Linked DNA regions of Saccharomyces cerevisiae S288C. Changing the gene in region 2 together with the main gene of any one other region gives a genetic interaction. Each region holds a gene or a part of one and is shown on either strand. Other genes may lie near its edges.

Evidence for each region.
Region 1: mutations in LYS20 (region 2) and MDL2 together harm fitness more than expected from each alone (negative genetic interaction), as found in Saccharomyces cerevisiae (2 studies listed by BioGRID).

What each region holds. Positions count from the first base shown.
Region 1 is NC_001148.4:28,816-32,883, reverse strand, and holds MDL2 (ATP-binding cassette permease MDL2), read right to left. Parts: upstream 2,403-4,068; coding exon 81-2,402; downstream 1-80. Other genes in the region: ATP15 (F1F0 ATP synthase subunit epsilon), read right to left, coding at 2,617-2,805.
Region 2 is NC_001136.10:131,053-135,589, forward strand, and holds LYS20 (homocitrate synthase LYS20), read left to right. Parts: upstream 1-2,384; coding exon 2,385-3,671; downstream 3,672-4,537. Other genes in the region: MRX19 (Mrx19p), read right to left, coding at 1-781; INH1 (ATPase inhibitor), read left to right, coding at 4,127-4,384. UniProt on the Saccharomyces cerevisiae protein: Catalyzes the aldol-type condensation of 2-oxoglutarate with acetyl-CoA to yield homocitrate. Carries out the first step of the alpha-aminoadipate (AAA) lysine biosynthesis pathway.

The sequences.
Region 1 (4,068 bases), on a different chromosome or scaffold from region 2:
TTATTTGGCATTTAACAGTATTATATATAGTATATATTTAAATGTGCGAGATAAGAATGGGTATATGCGATGCGGATGACTCACGGTTGTGGTGTGATCTTAATTGGATTAGCCTCCTTTGCCGCGTCTTTCAGGAGATGTTCGACAGATTTTTCAATATCATCTGAATTATTGTCTTTCGTCTCTGGAGACTGGTTATTGCTGTCGTTATCATGATTATTATCATTATCGTCATTATCGTCCTTTTTCTGGTCATCATGCTCCTTACTCTCATTCAAATCTTCCTTTTCGATGACCTTCTCTATTTGCAGTTGTTGGTCAGATGGCCCAGGAGCCGCTTTCTCATTAAGTAATTGCGATAAAGCACTTGTTGGATTCGCATACAATTCTTTGAATTTGCCCATTTCTACCACTGATCCATCATGGCCAAGGACAATAACATTCTCTGATCTTCTGATCGTACTTAGCCTGTGCGCGATGCTAACAATAGTCATCGATTTTGATTTCATTAGTTGACCAAACGTATAGTTAATGGCTCCTTCACTTTCAACATCTAAAGCTGATGTAGCTTCATCAAGAATCAAAATAGTTGGCTTTTTGATTAGAGCCCTTGCAATCGCAATACGCTGCTTTTGTCCTCCACTTAGTAAGGTGCCGTGAGGACCAATTACCGTATCGTATGTGTTCGGAAATTTTGTGATAAAGTTATGGCAAAAGCACTGCTTTGCTACTGACCTGATTTCTTCCTTTGTTGGGGTATATGTCAACCCATAAGTGATATTATCCCTAATAGTACCTGACATCAGTACCGGCTCTTGCTGAACGATACCAATATGCCTTCTTAGGGATTTACAATTCAATTTAGAGATATCTTGGTTATCTATCGTAATAGTCCCAGTAGTGGGATTATAATATCTTAGCAGTAAGAGTGCAATTGTAGATTTACCACGACCTGAAGGGCCCACAATACAAACACTCGATCCTGGCGCAATTTTAAAATTTAAATTCTTGAATATTTGAACAGAAGGCCTTGTAGGGTAGCTAAATGAAACATCTTTAAATTCGATAACACCACGATCTGGTTTATACTTGTGTCCCACAGTCGGTGAAATGGAAGGTTTCCTATCTGTTAATTCAAACAACCTGGAAGCGGCCCCAGCACCCTGCATAATTTCCGAATAGAAGGTAGAAAGGCCGAATACCGCATTCCCCGTATATTCTGTGTACAGCATAAATGCAGTCAGATCACCAATGGAGAGCTGTGATTGTAAAACAAGATAGGAGCCATACGCAAGGACGGTTAAAAAACTTAGGTCACCTAAGAGACTAGTTGTAGTAAAAAACTTTGCGTTTGTAAATGCCGCAGTTTTTCCCACCTGAAAAATATCTCTAATTGCAACGTTATACCTAGACAATTCATTACCTTCAGCAACAAACGACTGAACCGTCTTGATACCAGAGAGTTGTTCTTCAGCGACTCTAGTCAATTGACCAGTAGCTTCTTGAAGGTCTTTAGAGGTGTTTCTAATTTGCTTCCCGAACACTGAGGCACTAAAAAGAACAGGTGGAGTGAAGAATAGTAACAATATTGATAGTTGAGGTGACAAAGAACACATCATCCCCACGCCAACAACCCCACAAATTAGGGCTTTGACCCCATCCGAGACCTTCTGGGTCATTGATCTTGAAACAACATAAGCATCAGATCCTAAACGAGAAATTAAATCCCCAACTTTATGGTTGTCGAAGAATTCTGCGTCTTGATGAAGCGTTTTTTTAATGACATTTGCCCTTAGGCGTGCAACAACACGCTCACTTAGTATCCTCAATAATATAAATCTACCAAAATTAGCAGCACAACCAATCAGTAAAGCAACAGTAAAAAAGGAAAGAAACTCATATAAAGGCAAAGAAAAAATCGGTATCTTCAAATCAAAAAAATCTGATCCAGATGACGTCTTAAGTGTGTCAAGGACAATACCTATGACTTTAGGAATAGACATGCCTATGGAACATGATATGGTTAAAAGAAGTATGGCTGTAAGAAGCAGTTTCCAATCCCGTTTCGCCAACATAAATAACCTTATTATATCTTTATAGTCATCAGTTTTAGATTGCTCCTTTGCATGTGCCGACCTTGCTGATCCTTTAGATATGGGAGAGGCTGAAGGCAGAGAAGTTTCTGGAACTGTTTTGGATGAATTACATCTAAAACTTTGTAAAATTAGTGATTTTCCAACTGCAGGTGACCTTAAACACAACCGACTGAGAGGAATGAGCTGCGATGAAGAAGGGGTGACCAAAGACCGAAACCTTATAGATGGCAGTTTAGCCAGTCGGGGACGGGACAGCATGTTTCTGCATATGCCCAGCCGCAAAAGTGGTAAACGACCATTCAACATTGCGATTGGCGATGATGGGACATATATTTCTTTTTCTTTTAATGCAATGATACAAACTTTATACCACTCTTCGAAGCGGCCAGTATTCAATATCATTGTAGTCATTATTAGTTTCCCGTATAAAAGTACGTAAGTTTTCATACACAGTTGCTAGAATATTTAAAATGTATATCAGCGAGTAAAAAAAGAGCTGCAGTTCCCAGGAAGCGTTAAACTATTTTGTTATTGGAGTGGGTTCAGAAGCTGCAGTGCCATTTTTATATTGGGTATAAAAAGCATCTGTTTGCGATCTGTTAAGAACACTAGCGGTTTGTAATTCAGTTTTCAATGAAGAACGGATAGCCTGAGCGGCCACATTCAAATATGCAGCATATGATATACCAGCTTTCCTCCAGGCAGACATTTTATGAATCGGTTGTGGGCTGAAACTGTTGATGTTTCTTAGAAATACATATCTTGCTAAGTACTCAATAGAAAGGCCTACTTGTATCTCTTCATTTAACTAGACGAAAAAGGGGAGGATCAAATTTCATTGGTTCGTATAAAAGTATTAAAAAATAAGCGCGTTGCCAGACTTAGTGTGAGATAGTAAGCTAGTAAATCATCTGCTATTACCTAGTTTAGCGTATTTCCTAATAAGGATTACCAATTCCTCAAGTTCATGGCTTGGTAAGATACAGCTATAGCTTTCTTAGTTTTTTTCTTCGAGAGAACTAGTACAATGCTTCTATAGAAGTTAAGAAGTTTACCTTTTCGAAGAACAAATATATTGTTGCTTTGCTTACTCCGAGGTTATCGACTATTTTTGGCAATCCGTTTGAACCTGGATAAATACGTAAATCAGACTTTCTTTAGCCGGATCAACTCTTTTTTTTTTGTAAGCACTCTGACTTGTCGCTGCTGTGTCTGCCAATAATTCAATAATTCATAGTATTTCATACCATATGCTTTATTTAGTGTCCCACTGATGTGAGTTGAAGAATTGTATTCAGATAGGCATATCTTAAGGTCCAACTATTGCCACCGTCGTAGTGCGGAAAGGTTGATTATCGAGCGAATTAGAGGAATAAATGCTGCTATGCGCACGATGAGCAAATCGGAAGTAAACCACGCCGCTGATCCACCTGAACAAAAGAATCTCGCGGAGTTACGATTTAATGTAGGTTTGCTCAGATTACGTTACTGATACTTTACTTTGGACAAAAGTTCTCATACAAACTGTGGAAACAACACCGCTTAAACCAACGATTATGAAATGACATGGTCTAAAGTAATATAATCTATATTAGAATGTGCAGATGGCTATGGTATCCATGCGATGGCAAACCTCCGCAATGATTGGCGTTCTAGCGGCTATCCGAATTCACAATCGACAAGAAGTACTTCTAACTTACACAAGGCAACGAAATAATATCACTCTATGAAACTGCCATTTGGGTAATAGGAGTATATTGAACGACACCGGGTCAACAAGCAACTTTCCTAAGCCTTTTACACTTCTTCACATCATTCAAGATCGCCTTTTAACGAGCTACAAACCTTCACGTTCGTTCTTCTATGGAAACGTTTAAGATAACGTTAAAACGTTCTCAATCACAGAATTTAAGATGATTAGAAATGTTTTCCAAGGGATAGGGCGAAGCACAACCTCGAAAAATGGCAAAAT
Region 2 (4,537 bases):
TATATACTTCCGTATATCCCAACAGTTCCCTGAATTCTAAATTTTGTTTTGAACTTTCCAGTAGACTCTTCAAGTGCTTAGCACCAAGGTAAGCTTTGATATTAACATAAGCTCTATAAGATAGGTAGAACCCTGGAACATTTGGTATAAGCGGTATTAAAATTAGAGGAATTGTCAGCGGGAGACCTAAAAGGCAATATAAAGTCCATTTTTTGTGATAAATTAAGCCTTCTTGGTAGAGCTTTTTCATTTGTCTCAAGCACTCATCAGGGCTAGAAATTCCAGGGGGATAATACACGTGTAAGGGTTGAGTATCGACCTGTTCTGCCTTTACGGTATAATCTTTCAATGTGAGTCGAATCTCTTGGGTCTTATCTTTCTCTCCCTTAATTCTCTTCAATATATAGCTTTCACTTGGTATGGTTAACAGACTATTTTCTGACCAGGGTGTGCTATTTAACAGAGACTGCACCATGGACACTATTTTTTTATTATACGATTTAGGGGACTTTTTCAGTTTTCTCCAAAGCTTTGCTGATTTCTCAACGATCCACTTTTCTGCTTTTAATATTCTAGACTGACTATTAAAGAGATTATCGGTATGCTTATAGTAAATGAATGATTCTTTGTCCGTTATTGGTATCACAGTCACTTTAACAGGATCATGCAGATATTTTTGGAGTGAAGCCTTTTCAAGTTTTGTTGAATACGCCCTCATTCCGTAGAACAGTCGAGAAGTGGCAGTTATACTAGTTGGCGGTATAAATATTGAACGTATCATCTTTAATCTAAAATACACCGGATGAAGTTTTGGTATTGTGATAAAATGATTCTATCGATGAAGAGCAATGATATGGATACTGCTACGTTGAAAAGGAAAAATTTCATGGCTAACTAGTAACTGAAACTGTGCCAGATAGCACACCCTTTAGATACTATCTTGGCACAATGCCCGATGCTTACTCCCCGGCGGAGACAGCCGTCAAGTCCATCCATCCAAAAGTGGAGGAAAAACAAGAAAATAAAGCTATCGAACAAGGAGCGTTGAAGTAAGAAAAACAAACGAAGAACTGAATAAACACAGCCTGCTTCAAATTATGGAAGGAGCTGTTACACATGGTAATTTTCTTATTTTTTTTGATAGATGGTGGAAAGTGGTAGCGTGGAAGTTGCGGATTATCACGACGTTTTATGGGCTCTAAATCGGTATAAGCTCAACAAATGGTTGAGGGCCGAATAAACGAAAAATTATTAGACCATAATTGCTACCAGCTGAAAGATTATCTCATTATAATACGCTTGAAACCCTCTAAAATGTCATTCGTAGTTAAGTACACTTTTTTGATCTCTCCAAGGTTAGCCGCCCATATAAAAAACTCTAGGAACCAAATTTGGTATACTGCGTGCGCTTGAGATTCAGTTTTTGTGTAAATCGGTTGCTGCAAACTATTTATATTAATGTTACATCGATGCAAGATTTTAGCCATGTTCCTAGTTTCTTGTCTATGAGCGTTTACTCAACCGAGACTCTTGTTTGCTATTATCTCGATTCGACGAACAAACAGTTCCCTGGGTATTCGAACAAAGCACAGTTGGTGATTTTGTTTGAAACTACAGACGTGCTCTCTTTTACAAAATAAATTGTAGGAAGTGATCCGCACAGGCAGAGGGAATTACAGATCACGCTCCTCTCTTATGACTAATGCACTCAGCATTTTCTCTTCCTTATAAACTCCGTCCACAGTACCCGATCAGCTGGCTCATCGTTATTCTAAATTAACTGATGACTGATGTTACGTCTGCGTCAAATTCCGCCGGAATATTGCGTAGTTTTAGTAAGAAAAAAACAAATTCCGACGGGAACTCTCTGCAAGGAAGTTTAAGCGTGGGTTACTTTGCTAGGTTGAGAAAAAGAATTCTTTAGAGGATCACACGTAGTAAAAGAAAAAAAAGATCTCTTCGCGCCACTCCCGGTTTCTCTGTGGATACGGCGTTACTAGCGTTGCAAGTGGCAAAAAAATGAGTAATGTCACAATGGCCTGGCCTTGTCCCACTATCCCTTATTCATGGTTGAAAAATATGACCAAAATTGCTGGGGAATTTTCTCTTCGGTAGTGGACGACGACGACATTAGAGCAATAGGCAATAATTTAATTTGCGCTTTAGGTTCTTGCTGACGATGATGCGTGAGTAATATTATTACCAAGTTTTAAGGGCCTCATCGCTGGCCATTTTTTACACCTGCTTAAATACCCGATGATGATATATATAAATGATATTGGCTGCTTATCGATAAAGTGTATTTGATATGTTCCCGTTTAGTTTATTCTTGTTTCTTATCTACATAACAAACAAAGGAAGGACCCTGTATTGTTTTCCTAAAGATGACTGCTGCTAAACCAAATCCATATGCTGCCAAACCGGGCGACTATCTTTCTAATGTAAATAATTTCCAGTTAATCGATTCGACGCTGAGAGAAGGTGAACAATTTGCCAACGCATTCTTCGATACTGAAAAAAAGATCGAAATTGCTAGAGCCTTGGACGATTTCGGTGTGGACTACATCGAGTTAACCTCACCAGTAGCATCTGAACAATCAAGAAAGGACTGTGAAGCTATATGTAAACTAGGTTTAAAGGCCAAGATCCTTACACACATTCGTTGTCATATGGATGACGCCAAAGTCGCCGTAGAGACTGGTGTCGACGGTGTCGATGTCGTTATCGGCACCTCCAAATTTTTAAGACAATATTCCCACGGTAAGGATATGAACTACATCGCCAAGAGTGCTGTTGAAGTCATTGAATTTGTCAAATCCAAAGGTATTGAAATCAGATTTTCCTCTGAAGATTCCTTCAGAAGTGATCTCGTTGATCTTTTGAACATTTATAAAACCGTTGACAAGATCGGTGTAAATAGAGTCGGTATTGCCGACACAGTTGGATGTGCCAACCCAAGACAAGTATATGAACTGATCAGAACTTTGAAGAGTGTTGTTTCATGTGACATCGAATGCCATTTCCACAACGATACTGGTTGTGCCATTGCAAACGCCTACACTGCTTTGGAAGGTGGTGCCAGATTGATTGACGTCAGTGTACTGGGTATTGGTGAAAGAAACGGTATCACTCCTCTAGGTGGGCTCATGGCAAGAATGATTGTTGCCGCACCAGACTATGTCAAGTCCAAATACAAGTTGCACAAGATCAGAGACATTGAAAACCTGGTCGCTGATGCTGTGGAAGTTAACATTCCATTCAACAACCCTATCACCGGGTTCTGTGCATTCACACATAAAGCAGGTATCCATGCCAAGGCCATTTTGGCTAACCCATCTACCTACGAAATCTTGGACCCTCACGATTTCGGTATGAAGAGGTATATCCACTTCGCCAACAGACTAACTGGCTGGAACGCCATCAAAGCCAGAGTCGACCAGTTGAACTTGAACTTGACGGATGACCAAATCAAGGAAGTTACTGCTAAGATTAAGAAGCTGGGTGATGTCAGATCGCTGAATATCGATGATGTTGACTCTATCATCAAGAACTTCCACGCAGAGGTCAGCACTCCTCAAGTACTATCTGCAAAAAAGAACAAGAAGAATGACAGCGATGTACCGGAACTGGCCACCATCCCCGCCGCCAAGCGGACTAAGCCATCCGCCTAACGTTCCCAAACCATTACATTATGTTCTTTCACTTATTACATACGATATATAGCATCTACATCTACATATCTAAATGATGTTTTTTCCCATCTACTTTGTCCGATACGCATTAAAAGAAGAAGATTTACTCTCCCGTGATGCCGGGCCAATCAGACGCGCGCATTCGCGGCAGAATAAGGGGAGGCTGCTGCGGGTACCAAATATCCAGATATTCACAATTATGCCAATCAACTGTCTAGTTGCTGACACCCATCGTTTTCCACTGCAACGAGGTTTTGGGGCTAGAAAAGGCGTTAACAATCGTTAGAGAAGGAGGGGTTCATAACTTGACTTGTTGTATCTTGTTTAAAACTTTCTTTGAATTTGTTCGTGGTTGAATTTGTTTTTGCTATCCCAAAGGAGTGCATTTTACACGCATTACTACAGCACACTTTTATACAGTTCCACAATAGAATATGTTACCACGTTCAGCATTAGCACGCTCATTGCAATTACAGCGCGGTGTGGCCGCAAGGTTCTACTCTGAAGGTTCTACCGGCACCCCAAGAGGGTCAGGCTCAGAGGATTCGTTTGTTAAAAGGGAAAGGGCCACGGAAGACTTCTTCGTTAGGCAGCGTGAGAAGGAGCAACTACGCCATTTGAAAGAACAACTGGAAAAACAACGAAAGAAGATTGATTCTTTGGAAAATAAAATTGACTCGATGACCAAATAATCATGCGTTTCCGCAGAAGCTTTTTTTTTTTTTTTTTTAGAATATTCTTACTCTTTTATAGTCAAACAGCAGAAAAACTATATAATAATACATCACACTGAGCTTTTGCATTTTCGATAACTATCATTCTAGTTTTCCTCTGGTTTGAATTTT